Linked DNA regions of Lytechinus pictus. The protein of the gene in region 2 purifies or fractionates together with the protein of the main gene of each other region. This does not show direct contact. Links are inferred from orthologs where the notes say so. Each region holds a gene or a part of one and is shown on either strand. Other genes may lie near its edges.

Evidence for each region.
Region 1: the proteins of developmentally-regulated GTP-binding protein 1 (region 2) and N-terminal Xaa-Pro-Lys N-methyltransferase 1-like purify together in Homo sapiens (affinity purification with mass spectrometry; 3 studies listed by BioGRID and IntAct, counting the BioPlex papers as one, with this or other methods). This does not show direct contact. The link is inferred for Lytechinus pictus from reciprocal best matches to the Homo sapiens genes DRG1 and NTMT1.

Annotation. Positions count from the first base shown.
Region 1 is NC_087259.1:13,084,475-13,100,569, forward strand, and holds N-terminal Xaa-Pro-Lys N-methyltransferase 1-like, read left to right. Parts: upstream 1-5,561; 5' UTR 5,562-5,662; coding exon 5,663-6,070; 3' UTR 6,071-10,657; downstream 10,658-16,095. UniProt on the Homo sapiens protein: Distributive alpha-N-methyltransferase that methylates the N-terminus of target proteins containing the N-terminal motif [Ala/Gly/Pro/Ser]-Pro-Lys when the initiator Met is cleaved.
Region 2 is NC_087246.1:19,626,888-19,642,982, reverse strand, and holds the start of developmentally-regulated GTP-binding protein 1, read left to right. Parts: upstream 1-8,987; 5' UTR 8,988-9,109; coding exon 9,110-9,148; intron 9,149-15,400; coding exon 15,401-15,524; intron 15,525-15,725; coding exon 15,726-15,770; intron 15,771-16,032; coding exon 16,033-16,095. Other genes in the region: serine/threonine-protein phosphatase PP2A catalytic subunit 3-like, read left to right, coding at 287-464, 1,342-1,467. UniProt on the Homo sapiens protein: Catalyzes the conversion of GTP to GDP through hydrolysis of the gamma-phosphate bond in GTP. Appears to have an intrinsic GTPase activity that is stimulated by ZC3H15/DFRP1 binding likely by increasing the affinity for the potassium ions.

The DNA.
Region 1 (16,095 bases), on a different chromosome or scaffold from region 2:
TTTAGAGATACACACAATGAAAGGTGTGAAAACATTGTGCCGTGTAATGTCAGTTACCGTGAAAATGCCCTTAGGTGATTTCAACGCTCATAGTACCCTCTGGGGCAGTGACAAAACCGACAGAAATGGACAAGCCATTGAGCAATTTATATATGAGAATAACTTAATAGTATTGAATGATAAAACAGGAACTAGACTTGATCCTTGTACTGGAAAGCTTTCGTGCTTAGATCTATGTATGTCCTCCCCATCACTGGCCGGTAAGGCGATATGGAAGGTTATGGAAGATTCCTTTGGGAGCGATCATTTTCCAATTATTATTCAAATAACACTTGGAAAGAAAGGAAAAAATCATGAAAATCTAAGTAATCAGGCCAAAGATAACATGTCTCATGAACATATCTCTTTCAAGAATGTTAACTGGCCCATATTTGCATACAAATGTGAAAATATCATAAAAAATGAAATAATTAAATCTGAAGATGGTATTAAGAACATTTTTTATTCATTTATGGAACGCTTGAAGGAATGTATTCATGAAGCAATCCCGAAAAAAAGAAAGACGGGGAAAAAATCCTGTCCCATGGTGGAACAAGGAATGTACTGAAAAGATTAAAGAAAGAAATAGAATAAGAAACCATCTATCAAGAAAAATCACACTTGATAGAATTAACGAATACAAAAAAAAGAAGGCAGAAGCCCAACAAGTTCTCCGGAAAGCGGAAAGAGAATATTGGCAAGCTTTTTGCAGAAGACTAGACAGATTCATGCCAGAGACAAAGATATGGTCATGTATAAAACGTTTAAATGGTGTACCTGTCAAAAAATCACAAAATATGCCTATTTTGATGGAGAAAGGTAAAGCCATTACGTCCTTAACAGAGAGAGTAGAGATTTTTGGAACTTATTTCCAATCCTTAGGACAGAAAAAAAAAGATTCCAATAAAACATTAACCAAGGAAGTACAAAATTCTTTCTACCAAAATGAACATGTTATTAATGAACCTTTCTCGAAGAATGAATTTGAGAAAGCAGTTATATCTACTAAATTTGCTGCTCCAGGAAAAGATAATATTCCATACATTGTATACGAAAATATGCCAAAAAGCACAAAAGAAATTATGTTGAACATTATTAATAGAATATGGGAATCCGGGGATATCCCGAGTTCTCTAAAACACTCAATTTTAGTGCCAATCTTGAAATCTGGTAAGGACTCAAAAAATGTTATCTCCTACAGACCAATATCACTTACATCTTGTTTTGCCAAAGTTATAGAGCGTATGATAAAAGATAGATTGCAATGGTACATAGATAAAAATAACTTATTGCCTAATTTCATCAGCGGTTTTAGAAAAGGTCGTAGTACTACTGACAATATTGTTTTATTAGAAAATGACATTCAAAAATCTATCAATTGCAGTGAGCACACTCTTGCAGTATTTTTGGATGTCGAAAAGGCTTATGACAGTCTTTGGATTGATGGATTACTGTACAAACTCACTCAATGTGGTATAGGAGGAAATATGTTACATTTTTTAGAAAATTATCTAACAGAACGTACCTTTCAGGTAAGAGTTACAAATACTGAATCCAGAACATTCCAAGTCCATAACGGACTCCCCCAGGGGAGTGTTCTGAGTCCCCTTTTATATAATGTCATGATGAGAGATATTCCAATTGATCCTGAAGTGACAATATCCACATATGCTGATGATTGTGCAGTATGGTTTTCTGGAAAAAATGTAGAGAATATTAGATTAAGGATACAAACTTATCTAGATGTATTATGTACCTGGTTTAAAGACTGGGGCTTCAATTTTTCTATTGAGAAGACTGTTCCGGTATTTTTCACTAAGCTCACAAACGTTACTCCTCCAACAGTCAAGTTTGAAGGGAGTATACTCACTTATAAAAATAATCACCGTTTCCTAGGAATGATATTTGATAGTAAATTGTCTTGGCATCCCCATATAGAGAACGTAGTTTCAAGAAGTAAAAGGAAATTAAATATATTGCGAAGTTTAACAGGAACTAAATGGGGAAGTTCATCTAAGTCCTTACTTATGGTTTACAGGGCAATTATTAGATCAATTTTTGATTATGGTTGTCAAGCTTATGATAGTGCTCCAGTATCTACAAAAAAATTGTTAGACTCGGTGCAATATCAAGCACTCAGAATATGTGCTGGTGGGCTGCCATTAACATCGCTAGTTTCACTGCAGGTGGAAATGGGAGAACCCCCTTTAGATTTAAGAAGGCAAATGTTATCAAGCAAGTATAGACAAAATATAGAAAGACATAATAATCACCCATTAATAACACGTATCAAACCATGCTGGCAGTTCGATTATCTTAAAGGTAAGAATGTTAGTAAACCGTTTGGTTATAGGCTCCAATCCAAGATAGGAAAAGAAATTAGTATCGAAAATGTTATTTCTCCATCCTTTCCCCCTTGGTTATTTTGTCCACCAGTTGTATCTACTGAATTGAGTTCACAAATCAAGAAATCGGATCATCCAATACAATTACAACAATTGAGTTTGGAATTGATACATACAAAATGGTCACACCAACTCCATATATACACTGATGGATCCAAAGCCCCTGAAAAGGGGATTAGCTCAGCTGCTTTTAATGTACCTTATTTTTCCTTCTACCAAGGCAAAAGACTATCGAATTTCACCTCCTCCTATAGGGCGGAATTAATTGCGATTGTTCTTGCACTGGAATGGATAGAAGATTTAGATATATATACAGGTGTTGTTATTTTCAGTGATGCATTAAGTGCACTTTTATCTTTACAGAATCGGAAAGACGATCCTATTATCACAGAAATTCTAACTATTAGTACAAGACTCAAATATAAAGGTATAGAGATATACCTGGAGTGGATCCCTGGTCACTGTGGAATAAAAGGAAATGAAATAGCAGACTCCTGCGCAAAAAAAGCTTTATCAAATAAAATAGAAATTCATAATCAAATAACATTATCAGAAATTATGCAACTTATTTCAAAAAGTTGTAAGATAATTTGGCAAGAAAGATGGAATAAAACTAACTCAGCACTGAAAGAACTGCAACCATCAGTGCTATCCACATATAAATGTAATCTAGGGAGACAGGAAACTGTACTCCATCGTCTCCGTTTTGGAGTCGCTGGTCTTAACCAAGATCTACTAAGATTAGGGATCCATCCAACAGGGTTTTGTGATAGATGTCCTGAGGTAGAAACTGTCAGACATTATCTTTTACATTGTCCAAAATATATAATTGAAAGATCAATGCTCCTTGTAGAATTGAATGAATCACAGCCAGGACAAATAATGGAGTATTTAAAAAAAGATGACCCAGGGATACAGAAAGCATTTTTACGTTTCGTTTCAAGAACGAAACGTTTTAGTAAGGAGTGATATGTGCTATTATTATATTGTATTGTTTATAAGAAATATGAAAGGATATGCTTGTACAAGTCTAATGTGAAAAGAATATATATATATATATATATATATATATATATATATATATATATTGTAAAGAAATGGATGAAGAGAACAATGGTAGGCGTAGCTTAAATCAAGGTTCCCCAGAGCTATCTACCCTTTGGAAAAATTGGTGATGCCGAAAAAATGTCTCTGCCGGGAATCGAACCCGGGCTCCCAGCTTATATATATATATATATATATATATATATATACATAATAATGCATGATATAATATATACAAAATGATATTTTCTGCACATATAACTAACAAAGCCCACAAGTGTTTTCGCCTTGTTGTTGTTGTTGTTGTTTAAAAAAAAAAAGAAACAAATTATTTTAATGTTTAACCCATCTGTAAGCACAGGTACACTAGCGCCCCCTCGTCTATGCATGGGTGACCTAGGCATTTTTATGTCCGAAAAATCGGCACAATGTACCGTGCTGACCGGTATGATTGCATCTTAGAAAGGGCAGGGCAAGCGCAACTAGTTGGAACTGGGCTGAAGATAGCGGTTTGTTTTTGGTGAAGATTTGTTTATATGCCATTTTGACAAGAGTTAAGACAAACTTTTATACTATATTCATCATTTTTATAATAGAAGGATGCACAAGAAAAATATTTCATATATGTATACATCATATTGGTAATAATATGAGAAGTGAGATTTTATAGATAAAGTCAATGGCGACAATAGTCAAATATGACTAATTGCCACTCAAACCAACATAAGAAGAAGAAGAAGCTCTTCTTGCACTTCACTAGGTGGTACGTATACTGTACGCGTACCGACTGCTTATGTGCAGCGCTGAGCTTGATCAAGCGACCGAGTGATTCCGAAATAGGTGTAAAACTTTGTAAAAAAGTGTCAAAACGGCAAATATTCAACTTCTACTGGACTTTGGAGGCTCAGATGCAAGTATTTTAGGTTGTGAATTATTTAGGGTGAGATTGTACATGTTTGAAAACCATTAAACGGGGAGGTGCGAAACTACACTAGCGCCGCCGATTGTACGAAAGGTTTTTTCCAGGACCTTCTTTCGTGTCGCCCATCTTTTGATTTTATGATGCGCTGTGTAGCTAGTGTAATGTCTATGCGGGATTATTATTATTAATAAATTAGATCTAACGTTAGATCTATTAACCTCACAATACGTGTGAGTGGATCTAGACCACTCACACGTATTGCGAGGTTAGTATTAGTATACTAACCTCGCACCACGAACCGCGTTTGGCAGTGGATTTCTAACTACCGGTAGTGGGTCGCGCGTGCTGGGATCTCACTTCTTGGGTCCACAACACACGACTTCTATGGCTTGAATTTTCTGTGCGCGGCGGCATGTAATGAACCCTTGGGTGGATCTCGACTAGACTTCTAGAGTACATAGACAGACTCTAGTCTATTAAAAGACTATAATATTAACAACATAATAAATTACAAACAAATAAAATTCATTTTTAGACCTAGATCTACTTACATGTAGATCTAGAACCTAGCTAACATTAACGTTAAATCAGTTTTTATACAGTTTCATGAGATATCACTATCAGTATCAGTTTATCACATCATTTTGTAAGAAAAATTTTGTTTACTTTGGACAAATTAAGAATAATATATGTTCGCAGGTAATTTATTTGTATTTCACATGGCACATCATAATAAATGGACGACACGAAAGACGGTTCTTGCAAATTAAGACCCTTTCATGCAATCGGCCCCAGAATCTGAGAAAGTCACAGCAGCCGAGCAGGAAAATGTAGGCTTGTTGAATGGGTAATGGGTTGGGTTTCTTGACATTAGAATGAATTAAACGAAAGGGACTATATTGCACAAACCCTGGTCATTGCTTCACAATTACTTTTGCTTCAAGGAATAACTTTCTTTTTTTGAATAGATTTTAAAATGAAATAAATTTTTGGAAATTTGATTTGTCTATAGGCCTACGTACATGTATAGTCTAGGCTTGCATTTTAAGATAATTTTTTATTCCAAGCTAAAGACTTGATTGTGAACTACATGTATCATTGTCAAGATTAAAGATGTTCAATATGTTTTTTGTTTTTTTTTGCATAGGGTGCCTGGGCTGAGAGGGTAGGATCAAACCGAGCCCTTGACTGTGGCTGTGGCATCGGACGGATCACCAAGCATCTACTGTTACCGCTCTTCCAGCAAGTGGATATGGTAGAACAGACACAGAAGTTTTTAGACGAGGCGGATCAGTTCATCGGAGAAGGAGCCAGTCGGGTGGGACAGAAGATATGCTCCGGTCTCCAGAACTTCAAGCCTCGTTTGGAGCACTACGACGTGATCTGGTGCCAGTGGGTCCTGGGTCACCTCACGGATGAACACTTGGTGGATTTCCTGAAGAGAGCGAAAACAGGACTCGCAGAAAATGGAATCATCTGCGTCAAGGAGAATATTGCCAAGTCTGGGGTGGTGTTTGACGACCAGGACAGCAGTGTAACAAGGTCCAAAGCACAATTGAAGAAGATCTTTGCGCTGGCAGGGCTGACCATTTTGAAGGAAGCTGACCAGAAACGTTTTCCGTTGGGTTTGTTCGCTGTGAGGATGTATGCCTTGAGATGATTGGTGAATATTCCTTTTTATATCTATAGACCAACTTAACAAGACTCATTAACAAGAAAACATTTGTATATTTTTTTGTACAGTACCATGAAAGTTTTTTTTGTTGTGTTGATTAACCTCAAACAAAAGAGTGAAGGTTTGAAACCTGACTTGACATAACCACATTATACATATCCAGTTGTAACTGGTAATGGTTGTGGTCATGGTACCAACAGGTCTTTTTTATGAGGATAACTACAAACTTTTTTTCATGGAATCTATTTGTCAAGTTTGTCATTCCTGGAAGTAATATCTGTGCAGGTAAGGTTTTGGGGTGCATACATGTATATATGTTATGAAACGACATCAAGATAGGTAATTGTACAACCCACCAAGATAACAGTTGAAACCTGTGACGTGCTCACAGTGATTCAACAAGTATTTGTGTACTGTTTCTGCCGTCCATGCTTCTATAGCTCACACATGTGTAATCCTATTTGACATTTAAAAAAAAAATATATATATATTTTCCGAGCAGAATGTAATTTTGAGCTATCAAGTTGCACCTCTACTATTTATCCCAGCATTTTCATTTGGTTTTACTTCCACTGCATGTTACATCACTTTATATTTTAATTCTTTTTTAAACACTTTCCTTTATTTAAGCTTCATCTTTTCATACTTCTATGATTGTTTTAAAATGATAATGAATATTCCACTTTAATATTGCACTTGATAAATCAGAAAATTGTCTGTTATCACTCTACAAATATATGCATGTAATACCAGGGTCATCACATCCCAGCTTGCCTGCACAGAATGCATTTTGTCCACTCCCTGGGGAGCATTCCAACAAGAGTTTCCAAAATCAATCCAGGCATACTACTCTATTGGCTTCTGCATTTCATTGGATACCTGGGTTGAGAGTGGCAATATGTGAATTGACGATTGCTAAGGATTTGAATACATGGCCCTTTGTTTATAAAGCTAAAGTAAAAAAACCATTACATGTACACGTGTACATCAAGAAGCTCCTCAGATCCTTTGGAATTTTTATATTAAAAGGAAAGGAATTCTACACTTTAAAAATGTCATTACTACTTTTATACTAATTTTTAATGCCAAAGCTAAATCTAAAGTATTGTTTCAAAAATATATTTTGAAAATTATATGATTATGATATGATGATAGGATATGTTTATTATTAATGTTGTAAAAAAAAATCACATTTTGTTTCAATTTACAGTAATTTTTATGAATATGGTATTGGATGTTTTGTAGATTTAGGATAAATGATGAACTGTTCATGTACATTTTCATGTACATGAAGTGTTGTCTCCATTTATGGAGCTGTGACTTGCTATTCATGGAGATAACTTTGTAAGTGACCTACTACTCTACCTTCATTTGAGCTATGTGGGGGGGGGGGTTGATAGAGAAAGACACGGGGACATGATTGTGCAATCATATCTGCACTAACTTCACCTTTACAACACCCCCCCCCCCCCTTCTTCAACAAGATTTACCATAATGGTATTTAGAGGTTTACCGTAATGGTATTATTATAAAGAAAATTACCCTAATGATATTTGGAAATATAAGAGAATACCGTAATGTCATTATGGAGCTACATGTATTCTGCTATCATGGATACCAATCAAAACCTTATTTCCTCTTTTTTTTTTTCTTTTTGTGCACAACTATTTACTAATAATGTGTAAAGCATTTCCATATTGAATGCAGAATAAAAGAGCATCTATAAGTGCCATGGCCGGGGATCGAAACACAGACTTTCCATGAATAGCCAGGCGCCTTGACCACTCAAACCCCCGACTTTCATAGCCAGGCGCCTTAGACCACTCTGCCACAGCACCCTGATTTTGATTGGTTGCTTTGCCCTACATTTAAAGGCTAATTACCATATTATAAAGAAAATTACCCTTATGATATTTGAAAATATAAGAGAGTACCGTAATGTCATTATGGAGCTACGTATGTATTCTGCTATCATGGATACCAATCAAAACCTTATTTCCTCTTTTTTTTTTCTTTTTGTGCACAACTATTTACTAATAATGTGTAAAGCATTTCCATATTGAATGCAGAATAAAAGAGCATCTATAAGTGCCATGGCCGGGGATTGAAACACAGGCTTTCCATGAATAGCCAGGCGCCTTAATAGACCACTCAAACCCCGGACTTTCATAGCCAGGCGCCTTAGACTACTCTGCCACGGCACCCTGATTTTGACTGGTTGCTTTGCCCTACATTTAAAGGCTAATTACCATATTTTTCAGGTTACCTTCATCAGTATTCCCTTATTCCCTGGTGAACATTTCTTGCATGCTAAATAATCACCAATGAACATTTGCTGGTGAAATTCACTTACCTCAAGAAAGGATCACCAGATTCACTCGTAGGAACAGCTTTATGAAATGCCCCCCCTGGTCTAGCAAGGGTGTTATGATGTACGTACTTATCGTCTTTACCAATAGTATTTTTTATACGAATGGGCCCAGAAATTTGAATACTTGATTAAATGACAATTTACATGTACATGTTTTCCTTTATGCTTCCATCCATTCTTAACAAGAAATCTATTTAGTTCCTTTTGATTGCATCTTCAGAAAAGACTAGTTCATTTTAATGTTCTTTGATTTGAACATAAGGAAACAGTATCCATGTATTAAAATGAATTATTATTTGTAAAGAAAGTCAGTCTATATTTTGTTGCTGAGTAGTTCAGGTAAATGTATTTCTGATAATCCTCTATGAGGGTTTCAGTTCAGATTTTCATGAGCAACCTTTTGTAAAATATTTGAAGTTGAAAAAAAAATTACATTACATATTGAAAGCAGCTTAAACTGTTTTTCAATCGGGGGGGGGGGGTAGAAATTTCCTGTATTTTATAACTTAAGATTAATGTGTATTACAAAGAAATTAACTGAGTAAGGCTGCTACAAATCATATCTGATCAAGTGTAGTCATTGTTTAAATTTTTTTTAATGGGCAAAATTTTTATTGCCAAAGTTTTTCTCAGTGTACTGTGTAAACCGAGAACTGATTTACCGCCCTCCCCTTCTGACAAAACTAACAGTATTAGATTTATACTACCAGTCTTGTACATGTAGCGTGCTTTATCAATTGGTGTGCAAACTGCAAATTTTTATTTTGCTTGATTTATCATACTTATTTGAGAATGTGGCATTATTTTTTGAAATCTTTCTTGTAATAACCTGTTCAAGAAGGTAATCAAAAATATAAATGAACATTTATTATTCAGTTCCAACAAAACACAGGCTTTATTATTCAAATTGCTCAGTTTTATATTTTAACATATATGTATGTATGGTGGTTATCAATTATCCACTCTAAAAGGATTTGTTTACATTGATCCTTTCTCACTTCTTTTTCTAATTATGTGACTTTAAATGTATATTTTATGTACTTATTTTGTTTGGAATCACTGTGTTGCATCTTCTTGAATTATATAGCAAATGTTATGAAGTTAGCTCTACTTGTAACTAGTAGAATAAATATTTTTAGATCGAGATCATGTATGGGGTTTTCTTTAATATTGTTTTATTCTGATTTTATGGTTCTGGGGACTGGGGAGGGGGGTGTTTTAGAGTCATGCTTAAATACTGACATGCACACGATGTGAATTATGAAACATGCAATATTATTGATTAATGTGCATTAGTGTGCATGTCCTCTTACTTAGTATGATTTGGCCAATGTGGTGATGCCTCTTGTACTGCACGAAACTGGGGATATACATGTACATGTAAGTGCGACTCTAATGGGGTTTTGCTAGAAACTTGTAATTGATCGCAAATCAATTTTAGGTCTCAAGATCTATTGAAAGTCATTCATTCTAATGCAAATTCAGAATTGATAGTCTGTTTCTTGCATCAACATGTATATATTAATTTGCTTTAGTTGAAATTGATCTATCACTTGTAAATTTGCAATTGATTGCAAATATTTTCTTGCAACACCCCTTTAGTCACACTTAAATCTTTTTGAAACGCCCCCCTGGTGGGTGTTTCATAAAGCTGTTCGTAAGTTAAGAGCGACTTTAAGAACGACTGGTGATCCTTACATGGTAAATGGTATATTCATTGGCGATGGTTTAGCGCGTAAGAAAGGTTCACCAGTCATTCTTAAAGTCGCTCTGAACTTACAAACAGCTTTATGAAACGGCCCCGTGGTCTGCTGTTACACATAGTAGTGATGCATTTTATAGCATTGACATATATGGGAAGTGATTTTAGCAGATAGGATACAATGTATACTTCTACGATCAAAGCATCTCAGAAGAGAGATACTGGCAAAAAAGTGACCCACCACTCTCAACCTCTTCCTACTTACTTGTCTGTGCTCATTGGCATTCCTTTTTGTATTTCTATATGAAGACCAGGGTCCCGTCTTACAAAGAGTGGCGATTGATCCGATCACCCACAACTAAATGTAAATCCATAAATGTCATAATTTTTCATAGGTAGAAAAACGTGCACTACATGTATGTTCTTTTGTAAACATCGAGGAGCACATTGAATTGTCAAGACAACAATGAACGTATGAATACATCATATCTAGAAAACATTTTGAGAATGCATGTGTATTTTATATGTGGTGTAGCTGGCTTTCCATAGTTGTGGTTGATCGGATCATTCACAACGCTTTGTAAGACGGGGCCCTGTTCTATCCAGCAGCTGAACTTTACACTTTACTGAAGTTAGTTTGCATTTTCAATATGAAAAATGAATTATATTCATGGTTATTTTAGAAGTGCAGAATGAGTACATTACTTTCAAGTAAACATGTACTTCATGTCAATTTTAAACATGGCAATGAAGACTTTCAAGAATTTTCTCTCTTTTTTTCTCTTTTATCACTGCTGCCATGATATTAATCTATAAATCATAAATTTGAGGCACTTATTTTGTAACTTCTCTCTAACCCTGTCTCTGATTTAAAATTGTTATGTTGTGTATTTGTTTCTTGCATGTTAAATGATTTATCTGTCATTACAGTTATGTAATTAATGTTTAATAAGAAATTCAAACTGTACTTATTCCAATAATATTAATAATTATTGATTATCAAATCAATTTCTCAGAGGCTTTGAAAATTTGATAGTGCATTGTCTCCTGTGTTTGTAAATTAAGAAGGAATGTCATCATTTGTATGGTGATGATGATCGTTATTATGGTTATGATCAGATGATGATGATGATAACGATGGTGATGATGGTGATGATGATGGTAATGATGATGATAGTGATGATGATCATGATCATGATGATGGTGGTGATGATGATTATGGTGATGATATTGATGATAGTGATTATGATGGTGATTGTGATCATTGGCTTCAATAATGGTGATGAAAATGATGAGGATAAATACATATTGATATGATGGTGGTGGTGGTGAAAATACTATGATGGCGATGTGGTGGTGGTGCTGCTGCTGAGAGTGCCCTTAGATGACCTAAAAGAAACAAAATTTACCAGACAACAAAATCTTCAATGAAAGATCGGTATGTTGTATTAAACACTGGCTGCTTTAACCTACAAAGTCTGTTTTATCTGATAGATACCATAGTAGCATTCAAAGACGTGCCTCTCAGCCAATCAAAATCAAGGAAAGTTTCAGACAAAATACTGTTGTAACGCCCTCCTACACTGGAACAAGGCTCAGCACATTGTTGAAAGAGCGACCTCTACCGTCATTTGTTTTAAATCGCTCTCTTGTTTCGGCGGTGTGATGTATCACCAAAAAACGTAAATTGTGGAAATAAGGATATCTCCTATTCATTATGAATTCGGGCGAAAAATGACTACACATAAACAAACTTTGAAAATAAGGAGCACAAACAAAGCAGATCGCTGATGTATCTAGGAAGTTGACCACAACAAAAAGTCGAGTTGAATGAAAAGAGAAAAATCAAACAAACATAATCGGATGTAAATCAAGAATGCCATGACACGTCTTTTGTTTAATTTCAGAAAACAGTTAAAATACATGCTGGGCCCCGTTGCATAAAAATTATCATTATGGTAACTATGGCCATGAATGGTATATACCATGGTAACGATGATCAACAGCCAATCAAAATCAAGGATTCAATGCAAGTTACCATTCATGGCCAAAGTTCACATAATGGAACTTATAGGCAACGGAACCCTGGGCCCTGTCTGACAAAGAATTGCGATTGATCCGATCAACCACAACTATGGAAAGCCAGCAATGTCAACATCTAAAATGCAAGTTTGTTCGAAATATTTTATAGATATGATGTATATGCATACATTCATCATTCTCCTGAAAATTCGGCACTGTGATTCTCTTTGTTTACTAAGGAGATAATACAAATTTCCTGTAGAAAAAATTAAGGCATGGGTGGATTTCCATACAATTAAGATTGATTGGATCAATCGTAACTCTTTGTAAGAAGGGTCCCTTGTTGGTATAGATATGAAGGAACCGATACCGTAATCCACTCTTTATTTCTTTTGTATTTTATTAAGGGCCTTTCCACACGTGAATCTTGAATCATCATGATGATTTGCAATTCGTCTTTAGAATCATCGGACCTTTCACACGAAAAATTCGTACCGTAATTTGAGTGAAACTTAAGTGGAATTCACCTCCGGAGTAGAATTTGTGATCGTGATTCTAGTATGGTTTCACACGTGCTAAATATTCGTCATTAGCCTTATTTTTCACTGGAATCACCATTCAAATTACGATTTTTTTTTACCGTGTGAAAGGGCGGTTACTCTCATTGAAATGTGAAACAAAGTTTGATATCTCACTGGAAATGTGAAATTACCATCATGTTGTAACATGGAAGATAATAATAATGGCGTGTCTCCTATTGTTAAATCTGAAAAAAAAAATAACATTGTATATTCATCTCATTTGCATAAAAATGGGGTTTGCACAAATTATAGTTGACCGTAGTTTACACCCGATTTTGAAGAAATTTTCATTGTTAATGCTTGTTTGATTTTTCTCTTTTTATTCCTATCAACTTCTTGTTGGGTATGAATTTAACCTTTAAAAAATCAAGTTCCCACCCAACGCCTCTTTCGGTTATTGAATTGAATTTATTTCCATAAAAAAACTAATAACAATACATATAAAATGATACATGTGAAATTGACAAATGAAAACGGGAGGATGGCCCTACTCATCAGCATCAATCATGGTGTTGCTGGTCTCGGGCACGGAAATTCCTTTTATTTCCGTGGTTTGGGGTCCTCAAATACCCTCAAATACCAGGTCGTTATGTCACTGACGCGGCTTTACAAAAGGGAATTCCCCGTTTATTTAGAACGCCGTTGCATCGGAATTTCCAGGGCGGTTTTTGGCAGATGAATTGATTTGTGATAAGTACAATCAATAATTGGTTTGAGAACCCATCAGCCGTTATTGTTTGAATGTACGTGCTTTCAGACTTAAAGGATCTATCTGTCAATAGGTTTTCTCTTCCCACAGTCTGCATGCAAACACGCGTGGAATTTACTCAGCAGTAGAGCTAATATGAGGATTTTTTTTCTCAAAAACCTTGGGTTTTCTATTTCAGTTTTTCATCGATTACATAACATGACAATCCATGAATACCATAAGAGTCTTGTAACCACTGGCCTGTTTATAAACTGTCGCATAAAGAATTTCAGGTTCTAAACAATTTTTTTTCTCTCTTGCAGGTAATGCTGTAATGGTATATAGTAAAAGAAAACCTTAAAGGGATGGTCCGGGCTGAAAATATTTATATCTAAATAGATAAAATATAAAATTCACAGAGCAAAATGCTGAAAATTTGATCAAAATCGGATAAAGAATAACGATGTTATTGAATTTTAAACTTTATCAATATTTTGTGAAAACGGTTATATGCACATCGTCATGAATATTCATTAGGTGGGCTGATGATGTCACATCCCCACTTTACTTTTTCATAAGTTATTACATCAAATCATAAATGTTTCAGTTTTCATACATGTGTAAATGATGTGTCTCCATTATGATGAAATAAGTTGTGACAATAAATAACTAACGCACTTAATCAGTTGTCAATCCAATTGTTTTAGTTCTTGGTATAATTTTTTTTAATAAACCTAATTTCATATAATAAAATACAAAAGAACGAGTGGGGATATGACATCATCAGCCCACCTAATGAATATTCATAAAGACATGCCTAGAACTGTTCACCGGAATAATGCAAATCTTAAAAATTAAATAACTTTGTTACTTGTTATCCGATTTTGAACAAATTTTCAGCATTTTGCTTTATGAATTTTACTCTATTTATTGAGATATAAATATTTACAACCTGGACCATACCTTCAAATCACCCGAGATTTTTAAGCTAATCGGTAGCTTAATTTCTGCAATAATCATGAATACAGTGAAGTTGACTCTGTAGGCGATGGAGAAAAAACAATATTTTTTACTTCTTGCTAAGCATGTAAAATGCATAAGAAAGTAATATTTTCGGGGTTTTATCTTGAAATCTTCGACATTGTAAGGGGTCAGAACTTAATTTTGTGAAAACCTCCACAAAGTTACGCCATCCTTATAAACCACTGATCAGTATACTGCATTGACATCATGTTAATATAAATTAATTATCTGCAAAATCTCCCACATATAAAATCTAACCATTAAGTTCAGCGTTTAATATTTGCGTTTTAGAAAATATGTTTATGACAAGCGGAAATCACTTGAACGCGCTGGCAGTTTTTGAAATGAATATCCTGTATTATGCTTTTCAAAAGTGAAGAGTTTTGTTCCAAAAGAGGCTAAATCCACCTTTTTGGGGGTATTTTTCTGTAAATATATTTTTTATTCACCACTTTCCCTTAGCCACTGCTGTTTTATTTGGATATATATGGACTATCATCTTGGATTAATTAAATCATGTTGTCAACAATCAAGCATTCATTATTAATGTCTAAAGAATTTTTTAATTCAATTTTTCATGGATTTAGCTCCTTTTGGAACAAAACCGTAGTAAATTGTCAATTTTTGCCAATTTAAACATGTTTCATATTGGAAATTGAACACAAAACACATAAATATGGCTAGCATGTACATTTCACATCTTTTCTGATATTTATCCATTGAAAATTACAAAAAAAAACACGATTTTTGTCATCTTTTCTAAGGACGATGACTTTTTGATATCTAATTCGAAAAGGACCTAAGTCCAAAAATATTCATTAAAATTGTAAAATTCTGTTATTTTCATCAAAATTTGCACTGATGGTGTGAACTTTATCCACAACACGTACCTAAAAATTAAATGCATAACTTTATGTAACATAGGAAAATAACCAATTTTAAATATCCGTCTAGTGGTTTAGCTCATTTTGGAACCAAACTGTTTTGGATTTAGCTCCTTTTGGAACAAAACTCAAATTTGTAATAAACTTTTACCAACCTTTCAAAAAAATTCAAATGCAATATGTTGCATTGATTCCCAAGTGTAAAATATATATATTTCTATCAAAAAGTCAATTTTTTTCTCAATAGTGGATTTAGCCCCTTTTGGAATAAAACTCTTCAAGTGTTGATAGAACGCAGCTAATGAAGTTTATGAGGAGGGCATTGCCATTACAAGCTGGACGCTATTCTCGAATAATGAACTTTTCAAAAAGGACTCCATAGGCGGATCCAGGGGGGAGGCCCGAGGGGCCCGCCCCCCCCCCCCTATTGGCGGATCAAAAAAAAGGAAAAAGGGAAAGAAAGAAAAAAAAGGGAAAAAAGGAGGAAAAAGAGAGGAGAAAAAAGAAGTGGAAGACGAGTGAATAAAATAAGATGAGGGGAAGACTTGGAAAATAAAAAGAATCTTTCATGTCACTATATAAAATTTTCGCTCGCGCTTTGCGCTTGCATCGCCTGTTAGGTGATTTTCATATCTTGTTCAATATGGAGTTTAAATATCAAGTTTGGAAGTCAATATACAAAACATATTTCATCTCGGAAATCGAACTTTCATTATTTTGTGTGATTTACAAATTGATT
Region 2 (16,095 bases):
CAAACCTTCATGGTTCACTAAAAAATGGCTAATGATATTACTGCAGTGATGAGATCTAGAGATATTTTTAAGGGAGGAAGCTTAGCAAGATGACAGCTATTCTTTCAAAATTATTCAAAATCTGTGAATGTTATTTTGATACTTCAAGAGCAAGTTTCGATTTGTGTTCAGGACTGTAATGAGTAGGAATTGACTTGAATTGGTGCTACAGGGACCCTAACCCTTCTATTCAAAGTGTCATGTATTACCTCCATCTTGTATCTCGACTTTCCAATTTCATGTACAGGAGGGACTTCTTGGATGAGGATCAGATGTCGGAGATGAAATCCAACAACGGCTTCATCTTCAACAGTCGTCGCGGTACAGGTCACATGTTCAGCTGTGAGGCTCTTGAGCGGTTCTTACAGGTCAACAATCTTTCTCATGTGATACGAGCGCACGAAGTACAGCAGGCAGGGTTCCAGGTCAGTAGAAAACCACTGCCCCATCTTACCAGGATCGATCGATCTGATCAACCATACTATAAAAAGCTAGTAATGTCCTAACTTGTAGAATGCATGTCTATTCAAAATGTTTCCTCAATATGTATAGTCGTGCATTTATCAGTTTCTTGACAGTTCAGTTGCACTTTTGTTTCCAAAAAGATTGTATGAAGAATCCTGACATTGGTGGATCTTCATAGTTGAGATGGATTTGATCAGTTGCAACTCCTTGTTAGATGGTGCCCAGGGGAGTCACTTGGTTTGGGAGGTGGGGTAATATTTTTCCCACAGAATCAATGAGGTTTTTGAGAAAATTCATTTAGTCTTACATTAAATTTTTTTGTGGGATTTTCTTGTTATTCTTACATTGAATAATTTTGAGAAATTATAAATTTCAAGCAGGTCCTTTTGACAGGTAGATAGGAGTGATATAATGTAACGAATGATGCAATTTTAATACGGTCCAAGTTTGAGCTACTTATATGAGCAAACAATATTCCTTGTTTTGAAATATGGGGGGTGGGGTTATACTAGAATGTTTTTTGTAAGATATACCTTTGTTGAATTTGAACTTGTTAATCCCCATTTAAATTGAAATTAACCTGTTGAACAAAAATGATAGCCTCTATTACTTATAGTATATCATGTTTTTGATGTATTTATGTATGTATTTTTCTGTGATACTGGTTGGCATTTATTCCTTGACGATGAGGCCCTTTTGTATTCCAAGGAATAAATGCCAACCAATATCTTACCTCACCTGGGTCAAGTGTGGCAAAGGATGCTTGTATTGGGGGATTTAGACCCCAATCCTATGTATGAAATGAGTTTTCTTTTTTGTTTATGTTATTTGATATAGGTTCAACAGAAGGGCAAGTTACTGACCGTTTTCTCTTCGTCACATTACTGCGGGGGATCGAATGAAGCAGCATGCATCCTGGCTGATAGGCAGAAATTAAGAACGATAAGACTCGATACATCATGAGACATTCCATTGACTATGTGAAATCAGAAAAATTGATGACGATCCCTCATGATGTCGGATTGAAATGCATGGTGCTTCAAACATGATTTGATTTCTATTCTGATGAAGTCATGCAAAGAAAGAGTAAGGGCTTGATACCCAATGGGAGACACAAATTGAAATGTTTCATGGTTCTTTGTTCTAAGGCCATGTTTCATTGTCTCTGAAACTGGATTCTTTTCTCAGGATGCAAGCAATTGAGCCTGATGAGTGCAAATATTGACAGCCAGAGTTTGTAATTAAGGTATAGAAATGATACAATGTCATCTTGGCATGCAATCTGGGTTTACTAGTTGTGAATATGAAGCTCTATTGCGAGGTTACACCTGAATGTTTTCAAGATGGGTGTTGGAAGTCTTGCGCCCAATGAGCACAAATTTTGATAGCCAGACGTTAGAAGGTACAAATATTATGACATTGTTACCTGTTGTCTTGGTTACTTATTCAGAAAAGGAAGCTCTAGTGTAGGATTTAATATGAATATTCTCAAGAGGGGTGCTAAATTCTAGGGATATTCATTGGTTTGATCATGGTGCAATATTGCTTGAAACCATTAGTTTTGACAGCATGAACCACATACTGTTGAAATTTAAATTTTGATGCTGTTTTGAGAGCATTGGGTGATTTTATTTGTTGGTACTGGTGTTGGTGTTAAAAACACAATTTAGATTGTCTTTCATCGCTCCAAAACATACTTTTGAGTTTACAGAAATGAGCAAATAACATTATTGACAGCTCAAGACTTCACAAGGTTCATTCCAGTACAAACTTCGTTTTCAATTTTGTGCTATTCTGACCTAAAAACTGACAAAACACCAAGACTTGGAGGTCAACACCGGATTCGAAATCATCCTCAAGGAAAAGTTCTATTACATTTGGCCTAGATAGGATTTGATATTTACCTTGTTAACACCCTTGGGGTAAAGCTGAGGAACTTTACTTGTGACTTATAATTGCCAAATACATTTAAACGCCTTTTCTAGGTAATATTAATTTTTTTCAGTAACTCCATTTCCTCTCCCTTTAGTAAAATTCAAGTTCTGCCACCGTATTTTACATGTATGGTCAGTCTTTGATATTGGATGGAAAGATTTTTAAGCTTGATGATAAGCTTTAAAGACATGAATTAGGTTTGGAATGTCTTCATTTATAAGAGAATCTTGACATTTTAGATAATCCTCACATTCTTTTTTGAAATCCTAAGAATGATTTTAAAAAATGCATGCTTTCTATGTTTCTTTAAAAGATTTTATATAACTATAACACTGATGGGGTTCAAATTTTGATTGTTTTTGTTTTTACAAACAAAAATGATGTGCAATATTCCTTAAACTATTGTTTGTTCTTAGTTAACATAATATTTGAATACACTCTATGAGTTATATTATTTATGTGTAAATATTTCATGTTTGTTAATCAAAGGAACTATTTTCTTATTAAGCCAAAGTGATTGTTCTTTTACTGTGCATAAAGTATATATGCTTTGGTCTTGGTACCATTCATTTCATCAAATTATTTTTTTTATGGGGAAACATGTTTCCATTATTTTATCTGGAACAAGTAGTTTGCTGAAATAATACCTTGAGAATCAAAGGCTTGAGTGTGTGATATGATTAGAGAGTTTCATCTAGGTAAATCAAATATCTGAAATCCCTCTGTGATGTTGAATTTTGTAAAGCAAGTGATGAAAAGAATCTCTAGAAATAACAATGCCTCTTTAGTACTGACTTGAAATCCACAATAAACAATTGTGATTTGATGTGTGAACTGATGCCTTTCCGGGTACTCTCATGAAAGTGGAGAGTAGAACTTGGCAAAATATTGCCCTCATTTTCTTCACTAGTTGTCTATAGGGAAACCTGGAAGAGGGCAATATGACAGATATTGCCTGCTCTCGCTTTGGAGTCAAGGCAAAATATGACCTTTTATTTTGCAGCTAAAATGTCTTGTATAGGTAGTAATTATAATTTGTTTTGTTACTTTTATCTCATAATGACTTGTTTAAAGATGTACAAAGTTTTTGATACTGTTTATACTGAAATGATGATATGTACATTTGTGAACAAATGATTAGTGAATGCCTTTTTAGTGCAAATGAGTTGGGTTACCTGCAACCAATGCATTGACTAGAGTTTTGTTTCAATCAGAAACGATTAATTTCGTTTTAATTTTAACTTAATTACCCAGGGTAGCTACTTCAGTTGTAAGCTGTTCTCCCAGTGGGTCCTGCATGATATAATATCTTGTTATACAGCGTACAGTCTTTATATTATAAATGTTCGCAGACATAAATGCATAAAACTGCTTGGTCTATAAGACCGTTTTGTCTAAAAAATTTGGGAATTCACTTTATCATATAATGAATAGATAATTTTTCTAGTTAGTCACATTGCATGCTACAGTACACATCCTATTTGAAAGATCCCCCCTCCCCCCAAAAAAAAGAGAGATAACCAACATGAACAAAATATAATGGAATCCACATTAAAGATCATCAAGAACCTGACAAAAATTTACACTAAATTAGTAATTTTAAAACTACATCGACCAAGGAAATGTAAAAATGTGAAATGATTGTTTACTATTAATGTACTTTTATTTTAGAATGGATATGGGGGGGGGGGGTTAGTGGAGACAACTTGTTGAACAGTGATATGTATAAGAAATTTATCAGTATTACTTAAAGAGTCTTTTTCAATTATGATGCACAAGTGCACTTGTATTACTTTGTAATTTGAAATGCTAGCAGATGCACAAAATAATTATGCTTTTATATAATGCTGTGCCTTGTTACTTATATACTCTGACTCTTAAATATTTAAGCCAATCTAGAGTAGTCGCAATGAGCAATAATATAGTCTTGAAAATCCAGGTGGAAAATTAGTATTGTATCATGGATTGAATTCTGACATAGTATGTGCAAGGCAAACATTGTGAAATAATGAAATTAGTTGAAATCTGATTACCAGTATGCTGAAAATGCAATTCATCTTTCTACCATTTGAACACAATGCCTTGCTTATTTTGTTGCTTACTGAACAATTGCTAATTTTATAACAAATCACATTGGCACAGTTACTTGTTTATTCATACATATATACAAATACTTCATGTTTACTTTGTTGGCATCTGTTGGAATTTATTTTTATGATAGTGACAATTATTGTTTACCTTTGAGAATGGTGCTTTCCTTTTTAGACTCTTAGACCCGGTTCTCATTACTCTTTCTAAAACTCATTTGCTGGAAACCGGTTCAAATAACCAGTTTAGAAAATCGCTTTGCTAGCGTTTCCATTTGATCACCCGAAAGTGGTTTTCAAAATCACTTCACGTAAAGCGGTCTTGTTGCTACGGGAACGCTCTCAGTGGGGTGACACGTTTCATGCGAAATTTGAAAATGCAGCGTAGGCATTCTACACACAGTGTGTGGAGTAGCGCGCTCAAAATGTGCGAAGATCGCTTCCCGAAGAACTTTTGTGTCCTCGTTTACGCTAAAACTGGATTAATGGCAAAAAGAAGCTGCTGAAAACTGCTTATCTAATAAAAGAGAGCCAATGGAGTAAATTATGAAGTCAAAAAGGGGGCCTAAGCTTTCGATCCTAGCAGAATCTTCGTCGGAGGCAAAATGACAAACATATAAAGTGGAACAACCATAATATAGACCACAAACAAGCTACAGCAACACTAGAAACAAGGAGACAAAAGGGGCATTAGTGAGTAGAGAAGACCAATCAGGTTAGTGAAGGGGATGAAAGAAAAGGAGTAGGCAGACACAAAGGGAAGTTAGTGTAAGTAAGGCCAAGAGGGATTAAGATAATGAGGCAGGCAACATCAAACAGGATCTGGAACAAAACAGTGATAGAGGGATGAATAACTAGAGAATTAATGAGAGGTGGGTCAAACAGGTTCCAAAGAAAGGCCTGTTTGATGTTGCCTGCCTCATTATCTTAATCCCTCTTGGCCTTACTTACACTAACTTCCCTTTGTGTCTGCCTACTCCTTTTCTTTCATCCCCTTCACTAACCTGATTGGTCTTCTCTACTCACTAATGCCCCTTTTGTCTCCTTGTTTCTAGTGTTGCTGTAGCTTGTTTGTGGTCTATATTATGGTTGTTCCACTTTATATGTTTGTCATTTTGCCTCCGACGAAGATTCTGCTAGGATCGAAAGCTTAGGCCCCCTTTTTGACTTCATAAAACTGGATTAACGAGGCAAAGCGATCTTCAAAACTACATTGCGAGGTGGTTTTCCGAATCGGTTTGGAAGATCGCTTCCAAGACCGCTTTGACCGATCTCATAACACTTTTAACTAGTTTCCAGTAAACTAGTTTTAGGATGGTAATGAGAATGGTGTCTTACTCCTGACACATGTCTCTATATTTTATTCCATTGATGTGTGTATTACCATTTTACTGCATTAGCATATCATTTGTCAAAGCAAACTTTTTGAAAACTGTTCTTATCCAAAAGGTGCACATATACTTACTATAACTACAGTGTTTAGATGTGAGTGTTCTATATGTGTGTGCATTTTAAAAAAAGAAATATATTTAACAGAATTTACCTTGGTTTTGAAAATTTACATAATTATATTTTAACTTAAATGCTTTTTTAAAAGACAGGTTCATGAGTTCTTATCTTATTTTTTTTCACTTCAAAGAAACACCATTGATTGGACATTAACAAAAAAACTATCTGATTCCAATGAATTATTATACAATTATTGTGATAGCTTTGGTATGAATTTTTAGTTGAAATTGAAAAGCAAGTAAATTTGAATACAAGTGAGATTTTTACCAATCACCAATAAACTTTGTACTTTGTTCATTTGTGCCTTGTCATTAATATAAACATTTGTCTGGATCTGGGGAATGTTACACAATTAGCGTGATTGAGAGTCATGCTTAAACGGCAACGTGCACAAGATATTTAACACGTAATCTGATTAAATGATACACTGTACTTCACGTCTCGTGTGCAATTTCTGGGCCCCTTTTCAAATTCATTAAGACTTGTTATAATGAAGAATGCACAATTTCTGTAACAAGTTTGCTATCAGTCATTCAACTTTAAGGATTTCAGTAGCTATAAACTGCTGTTGCAAATTCGATAACAGTTCTTATGATCCAGGCTCCTGAACATTATGGTGATGCATTATTATCCCGCATGCAATTGAAATTTAAGTCACACAAATCTTTGTGGAACACCCCCTTAGATTGTAAGAATAATTATCTTGATAGTCTACTGTGTATTAAAGTTGGCAATCACAGCTGCTAATTGACAATGCAAGAAACTGTTTTGAAATTGCCTGGGTAAGAAATATTCCATTCACTTTATACATGTATATACATGTAACCTTTTAAAACTGCATAATAATTTTTTCCTTGTCAAGAGTTTTTCAGAGCTCTTGTTTTTGTAGTGGCCCTTTTGTGTTTTTGCTTTATATTCATTTGGTCTTCAAGCAGTTGGTCAACTTCTCAGATGGTCTAATACCACATGGGCGTAAACCTAGTTAGTCTTCTAATTGCTGTTTGGTCTAATACACATTGGCCCGTATTCTGAACTTGGGTTTGAATTAAACCATGGTTTAAATTTGTGGTTTAACTATGGAGAGTCAAGTTGGACACAAATTCCTGACAGCACACATCCCATTAATTAACTCATTTTGACACACAAATTGTTCATAATTGTCTATTGAAGTATTCTGAAGTATTTTTCTTCATTATGAATGCAACAAGAAACAAAATAGCAAACATAAGAGATATACAGTATCAACAAAATTTTTGAATTATTGGCTCCCCATAATTTTAGCACAGAGATAGACCGTGGTCTAAGTTAAACATGACTTCAGAATACGGGCCATTGAGTCTAATGCCCACATGGTCATGGCCTCCGGGAAACCATGTTTGCTTGGGGTACTGAAGCACCCCCACAAGATTTTTCTGGGATGTATGTCTCGTATGCTATTTACCATAGGCAGCAGCCCTCTGTAAACCAGGTTGACAAGCAAAAAACTTGAAAAAAGGGTTGTTGATCCCAAATGACAGAGATCTGGGAGCAATTTATCACCTTTCCCCCCTTTTGCTTGTCAATTTTTTTTAATGACAATCCACTGAACAATATCCACAGCACTCCTTATTTAGAAATCGTTCCCGGGGCCTTGCACATGGTCAAGTTTCAAAAACTTCATTTGCTTATCCTGCTTTGTCAAATGAAAATGTGATTTATTAATGGGTTATCTGACTTTGGTACACAAAGTGCTTTTAGACCAAGTGGATAGTAGACAATGGATAACGTCTGATATGACATAAGACAAAATGGCTATGTATTTTAGACAAAGTGTTTAGTATAGAGGAACTGGTTGGAGGCCAGTTGGGGTAAAGACCATAGATATATGCAACTTGGTTTATATGTCTATGGTGTAATTGTGTAGGCCAATCATTAATTTACCCTTGACATATATCACATCTACCCAGTAGCGTACCGTGAACCGCAGGAGACAAAGCATTGGGGGGGCAGTGCATTGTCTGTGAACAATGCTTTGCCCCCCCAATGCTTTGTCTCCTCCGAGTCACGGTACGCTACTGCATCTACCCCTGCCGAAAATGGGGGAACAAATTAAAATAAATCCAAACAGGTGATCAAGCTGTAGCAGTGTGAGAGTGAGACGATCTAGGAATTCCCTATTATTTTATCAAGTATATAAAGCTGGATATGAAATAGTTATTTCATGATTATAATGGAAGATGGCTGATCGCATTTCATTTATTTTGTGCATTACATTCTGAAAATGGCCTTTATCATATGCCCATGTTTTTTTGTTTAAAATGTGGCTGTGTGCTATTCAAGTTCCGGTATGTTTTTTTGAGAGACCTGCATTTACATGTACATGATCAGGGCCCTGTACAAACATAAGGAAAAACAATTTAATTTAATTCCAATCAATTCAAAATTTTGTGCATGTGGTATACCACAGCTGACAGTAAAAAGTAAAAAATCATATCTTTTATGTATATGGTCCTTGTAAAAGAATTTGAATCCTATTTTTGGTTGATAATTAAGTTTTCACCACTATATCTCTGTGCTACAAACATTTTTCCTTGCCGCTCAAATGAATAAAATATCAGATACACTTATGATTATTATAATTTCATGGGCTTTTTAAGATTTTGTTGCTTATACATAATACATACTGGATTTAGGCCTACGTGAACAAAAATATTAAAGAGATGAGATTTGAGAGAGAGAGACGAGGGAGAAGGGAAAAGGGAGCTAGAGAATATGATTAGAAAAATTAAAAAAAAAAGGAAGAGAAAGCAGGGATTGATGAGAGAGTGAGAAACAGAAGAGAGAAGGGGGGAATAAAAATGGCGGCGGTATAGAGCATTTATTACAAATCATCTTGCTCTTCCCGTCTTTTTTCGGTCTCCCTTTGGGGCCCTTCGGTCCTCGTCTCCGTTTTATGCTCGCGGTATAGTCTTGTTCAGAAAAGCTTTTCTCGCGCGCTCGCTCAATGCGAGTTACTGTCACATGTGTCGCAATAGTGACGTCTGGTAGATGTGATTTGAGCCCTTCTTTAGTCTGTGACCTCCTATATTTAAAAGATGGGGATTCTGGAAAGGATTGCTGAAATAGAGGCAGAGGTTTGTGATTGAATCCGATTTCTCTCAGTTGTGCCCATACTTTATACTAGTAATATAACGCCAATTGTCGGTAAAAGACGGAAGACTGGTGCAAATTCTTTCATTCTATTGCATGGTCCCATTCGTTTACTTTTATGTAGCTTGCACAAGCAATGTGACACTGCACTGTGTGAACTGAGTGAAATTGATGTGAATGTGAGACTGAAGTAAATGTGTAACTATTAGACCATGTCTTTCAAGACGAAATGGGCAGTTCAGGCAGAAAATAATGGCCTAATTTGTTCACCTCTGATCCTGTGACTGATTTAGATCTAGGCCTACATCGTTAGGCTTAATTTAAAGTTACTCACATTACGGCCTAAGGCTAAGTACGGGACTGAATTTGGATTTGAGTGGACTGTGTGGGAGCTGGGAGTCTGCCACTCACACGTATGCAGGGTGAAATACGGGATGAAATTTAAAAAAAAGAAAAATGAAATACGGGACAATCGACAAAAAAAGATCAACAAAGAAGGCCACAAAATGTTAGACTTGTGAAGAAAGTATAAAGAATTGGGAGGGTGAACAAAAGAATGAAGGAGAAAATTAAAGAAAGTTAAAATAACAGAAGGATGAAAGAAAGAATAAAGAGAGAAAAGGCGTTTCCGTCATTCTTTGAATTGAATATAGAAAGGAAGGGAAGATGAATAAATGTGTGAAAGACAAAATAAAGGAGAGAAAAAAAGAAAGCAAGAAAAAAGGAGGAAAGAAAAATGTTTCCTTTATTCTTTGAAAGAAGCAAACGGAAGAAAAACAGGAAGGGAGGAAGGAAAGAAGGAAAAGAATTATAAGAAAAAATGAAAGAAAGGAGGAAAGAGAGGGAGGAGAGAATGAAAAAAGAAAATAAAGGAACGCGACAAAGAACGAAAAGAAAATGAGAGGAAGAGAGAAGGAAGCAAAGAAAAGTTTAAGGAAATAAAAAAAGGAAATTTGATAAAGGAGGCAGGTAAGAGAAAGAAGGAAAGAAAGAAAAATGGAACACAGAGAGAAAGGATCAGGAAAGAAAAATAGGAAATTAAGATAGATAGAACAAAAAAGGGCAAGCAGGAAGGATAGAAGGATGAAGAAAGAAGGATAGAAAATAAAGAAAAAGGAAAAAAATTAAAACTTCAAGCAATTAAAAACGATCCAATGATCTAACAAATATCTATTTGGTGTTTTTTAAATATATTCTTAAAATTAAAAAAGCTAAAATGTTTTAGAAATGAATAAAATTTCAAAGTGAAACATTGTCAACTTAAAAATTAGATGAAACATCGCAGCATCATATACACAACAAGACTCAAAACGAAAGCTGAAAGAACTAGATCTAGTTATGAAAACTCAACTACTTGTTCCTCCGTTTACATCTCCAAATCAGTAATCTGAGAATCCATGATATAATTATACAAATTTCCCGCCGATTTGTGATTATTTTGGTTGAAAAACTGTTGATCATGTAATTGTTTGCACCATTGAGAATCTGCTGCTATCCTACATGCCTAGCTAGTAGCCTGCCACACACAGGCAGGAGGCCAGTTTGTTTGCAATGTATTGGGTTAGCAAGAAAATCACAGCAGAACTTGCAAAAGTTTAGTTATCGATTTTATTGTTGTCTCTGCTTCGTCATCTGTTGGTTAATTGATGAAAATTCGTCACTTTTAAATGTATTAACTACATTTTGTTCAATATTCTGAAATACGGGACAAATAGGCGTCCCGGAAAGAGTTTGTTGATGCGATCCCGGGAAATATTGGAAGTCTGGTCACGCTTCACGTATGCGAGGTTAGTAGGCCCTATGCTATACTAACTTCGCACTACGAATGTGATTACCGTAAGTAACGGTGTATTAACCGCACCTTTTTCTCGGCGGGACAGAATCAAAAGTCGGGGGTGCGGTTTATACACGGTGACAGGTCTGAGCCAAGCCAATCTCAGCCCGATACCACTACCAGTTTTCAACTCGCGTCGGGTGGCCGAGCATAGCCGCTTGGGGCAATCCCGTTTAGAGGGGTATGAGCCGCGGGTATAAAAGGGAAGCAACTATGACTACCGGTATCTACCGTAAATGTCCCTCAAAGTTATATCACGGTAACAAACGCACCTACCTTCATGAAACTGACTTTTTTTAATGGTGTGACTCTGTCTTTGTTGTCATTTTTTAGTCATCGCGGCAAAGTTCAGACGCCAATCGATCGCACAGCGCGGTGCAGCTAGCCGAATAAGACATGCATGTGTAATGTTTATCGCAACGTCAACGTAAGCTGGCGCTTTACCTTTCCGTGGAAGTTATTTTGTTTGACAAATTATTGGTATTATTTGACAATTAATTTCTTTCATTTGCCTTTCCTTCATTTCTCTCTATCATCCATCATCTCAAAATCAATCTTCAATCCCCATCTTCACTCCTTCCGACTTTTTATTTTTAATTATTATTCACTTTATTCCCGCCCAGAGCTCCCATTGAAAATACGGTATACCGGTACTAGCATTTTTCCCCTATTTTGCTGTCTGTAAGATACCGCCACACACGTACTGAGAACTACCGGTAGTGGTTCAAAGCAGACAAGAAAAACACCTGAACAAAATCGCAAATTTCTCGTATCTTGAACCTTCCCGTATTCCCTTGTCTAAAATTCATGTCAAGACATTGAATGCTAGACAGAATTCTGAAAGCAAAAGTGGGGCTGTGATGCAGGAAATATGATATGAACGATCTTCTCGTATGGGTGAGCCCCCATGTTGATGCTGGTATCGGTACTTGCAATGAACACCGGTACCATATGTGTGTGTGTGAGGTGACTCGGAGTGTGGAAGTGGCCAATAATATCGGCAACTTGCAGATAAGTGACGAAGCGCTGATTTCCCATCATTTTTTACCAGTAATTCTTCGATATTTTTTGGTTCTTGACTCTTTCTTAAATACGCATATTAGAGATAGAAAGTAAGTTTGATTAAATTTTTTTTTTTTGATTTTTTTTTTTTTTTAATGATTTTTTTTTTTTTTTTTTTCCATCCGAAAATGGGGGGTGCGGTTAATACACGGGTGCGGTTAATACACCGTTACTTACGGTAAACAATGGATTTTTGAGTTGTCGGTTAACATCACTTCATAACAGGAATAATGTTTGTCGAAACGCGTTCCGCTACTCACCAGGGCTCTTTCCAGTGACGGGCTATCCATTTTCAATTTTTTAATTATTTGTTGATAATGAAAAGCACATAAAAAAAAAGCACAATCGCTTACCTCGGCACGGAAAGTGGCTTCGCATGTCTCTTCTACAGAAAAAGGAAGGCCGTTGGTGGCGCTAATACATTAACCTTTATTCAGCTCGTCAGTATTTTATCTAAATTCATTGTATGTGCAATTCCTATGATTGTTTGATGAAATATGGACACTAATAAATGCAATAACTAAAAATACATGCTTTTAGATTATTATTGCTGACGATAAAACTTTTTGGAAAACATTCAAAGTGGTGACACATGAAACAAAAATATAGAAAATTCTACGTGCCTTGAACAAAGCCAGCAGTGCAAGCTACCGTTCGTTTGTCAACAAACGTTCCACCAAAGTCTATACAATAAAAAGATTGCACACTTTGCTGACTTCGCATAAAGCTTTGCACAGTGACGTAACTATGGGGGAGGTGGGAGGCAAAGGAGGAAAACGGGAAAGGGAGAAAAAGAGGGAGAAAGAAAGAGAAACGTAGTGGGGGAAGAATAAATTATTGTTTATTAACTATGATATATTATTCAATTCAATTCAATTAATTTATTGTCATGTTCAATGATTAAAAACACAAAAATTGTCCTCAGACTCTTAACAAAAAGTGCATTGAAACAAAAAATAATCACAAACTATAAATACATCAAAATAATACATACATGTAATATAAATATATAAATAAATATACCCTGTATGCATGCTTGAGCACCCACGACACGACACCAACCCCTGAACGACTGTATGAAACAAAGTGTAAAACCTTGTAACAGACCCACGGAGAGTATACCTAGGAAATTATTTGGGTGTATGGAATGACCCAAATGAACTACATCAACAAATATTCAGGGAAAACATAATTTGTGCCTCAAAAGAACAGTGGAGTTATGACCTAAGACATGTTTTCATGAGGTAGTCAAAATATGCAAACACTCTATTTGCAAACTTTTTGCTAGTCCACTCTGTTCTTCTCGAATCTTCCGGGCTTTCAGTGATGTTCATCAAATGTAGACTTTGAGACAACATGACATTTGCAAGAGCTGGTAATATGCTTCAAAGGATGCTGGTAGTTTCAGTCAGCCCATGGTGCTCTGTCGTTCTGGTCAGGCATTGCTGCACCAGGTCATCGTCGTCCTTGAAAAACAAGATTTCCATCCATGATTTTTTATGGATCATTTCCGGCTTCTTTGATGAGGTCAGGGACATCTCTGTAGATGTTTGGGAGATCAAACATGTGGATCAATATATCCTTTTTTCAAGAGGGTAGTTGTCACATACTTGCTGAAAGTCCTAAGGCTCTACATGCTGCGAGGTAGTAGGGTTCTGTTACAACAGCAGCAACAGTCTTTACTCTTTAGGCTGCTACACTTTCCAGGTTGGGAAGGCATCATATCCTCTAGGAAATAAACATATGCTGCATGAAAGAAAAAGATGTTTGAATGGTTCCCTCTTGAGTTGTACAAGAGGTTACAACCTCATCCTGTTTTCCTTCAGGAAATCCTCAGAGTAGGTCTGGAACTGGCCATGATTATCAGACTTCTCATCTCCACCATGGGCAAATGCTTTTGACAAATTCTTGATGAAGACAAAGAAGTCTCTTTGGTTAGGACTTGAAGGATAGACTCTTTTTCCTTCAAAGAGTTCTTCCTCTGTAGTAAGCAATGTCTTCTCACACACCTCTGTGTACTCTTCTAGACTATGAGGTCTACAAAAAAGTAGTAATGTTCTCCAATGACCTGCGCTCTTCATCACATAGGTTCTCCCAGTGGTCAATAACCGGTGGCAAGACTTCTTTTTTATCTGAATTTCCAACAATTCATGCCATTTTAGTTCTGTTGCAGCATGGTCTGACCTTGTGTTTCTTACATTGCCTCAAAGCTTCTTTCCTACCACACTGGCTTCTTATTCTGCATCCTCAGTGTCTGTAAGAACTTCTTTAAAGGTGACAAGGGTATCAAATGCAGATTTTGTTGTGATGTTTCTCAACCCCAGAAATAATATCTTTAATATCACCATATACATGTAGTTTAATTTCATGTATAATGTGGTGTCATCTAGTGATGTGACATCTTGTATTATCTGCTCTTGTGCTAGATAGAGCCTTGGAGTATTCATGTTTTCCATAAGTAGACTTCGCAGGTATCCTGATACATGTACCTCCAATAAGATGCTTCACAATTGCATTGATGCATGGTTAAACTTTCAACACAGCTGCATGTACGTGATTGTCAAGTAATTCATAAATATTAGCATATAGCCATGTTTTGTGAAATTAGAATTGTAACAGTTCTTTTCATTGTTGTAAGTTTCTCTTTACATTCTCTCACCCTAAGTACATGTATCTCATCCAGTTCCTTGTCTCTATGTCTCACAGCAGTACATTCTTTAATTGTCCTCTTCCAAGCAGTTCATCTAACAAGTTTCATGGTTCATTCTTTCTTCCATTTTCTTGACTTTTTTTCAGTAGTTATTTTCTTTGTTTTACTCCTTCTTGTCCTACCTTCTCTTTCTTTGCTGGGATTATCTCCTTTAACAATTCCAAAACATTGTGATTTTAAGAGGTCTTTTTCTTCTACTATTGATAGGGTGAATAGAAAGGGAAATGAAGTAGAGAAAAGAGAGAAAATGATATTAGGTGATAAAAGCACTTTTTGTCATAAATCATCATTATATGCTTCATTAAATTTGAAGCCCCTTTTAGGATGCATATCTGCATTGGGATCCTTTATCCCCCACCAAACAGGGATATCTTGGCCTTTGGGAGGAGTTCGTACCCCAATCGTGGGCAACCTCTTCATCATTTTAATACCAAGTTAGGCAGCAGCTAAAAGCAGAAAGTTACAAACAACCAAGTAAATAAATATAGATATGAATGTGAAAGTGTTTTCTCTTCGTATTCCTCTCTTTTGATTCAAACAGTTGGTTGCTTGCTCCATTCCCAGAGGAGTGGAAAACATCTCAGAAAAAAATACAGTAGACTTGACTTGTTTATCTTTTTGGATTCACAGATGGCTCGAACCCAGAAGAACAAGGCGACAAGCGGTCATCTGGGTATGCTGAAAGCCAAACTTGCTAAGCTGAGAAGAGAGCTTATTACTCCTAAAGGAGGTGGAGGAGGAGGGGGAGGAGAAGGTGAGTTTACTCTCAAACATAAATTCAGTGGAGTCCAGTGTTCTATTATGTAAGCAACTGGGAATTCTGTGCAATTTTAGTCACACTTGCTAATAATCCAGGAGGCCACATATGGCTTACTTTGTTTTATGTCCAATACTATTGGAAACTATTAGTATTTTAAAAATTCAATAAAACCATATTCTTATTTTTTTCCCACAGGTTTTGATGTTGCCAAGACTGGAGATGCAAGAATAGGCTTTGTTGGTAAGATTTGCATTTTTTTAATGGAAGTTACAGGTTTTTGTCAAAATATGTTTCCTACACATTCTTTCAGAACAAGTTAAAGTACAGATTTTCCTTTCACGAAAATCTACCCCTTTTAACCCTAACAAAAGACAAACTATATTGCGGTAGCTTATGTTTTTCAAGGTTAAGCATTTTTACTCTTTATCCAACTATCTAAAAATTACAATGTTTGTGTTATTTCTTCAAACATTTTAATTTTCTCTCTTTTGTTGGTTGGTAGGGTTTCCCTCGGTGGGCAAGTCTACCCTTCTAAGTAACTTGGCTGGTGTCTACTCTGAGGTAG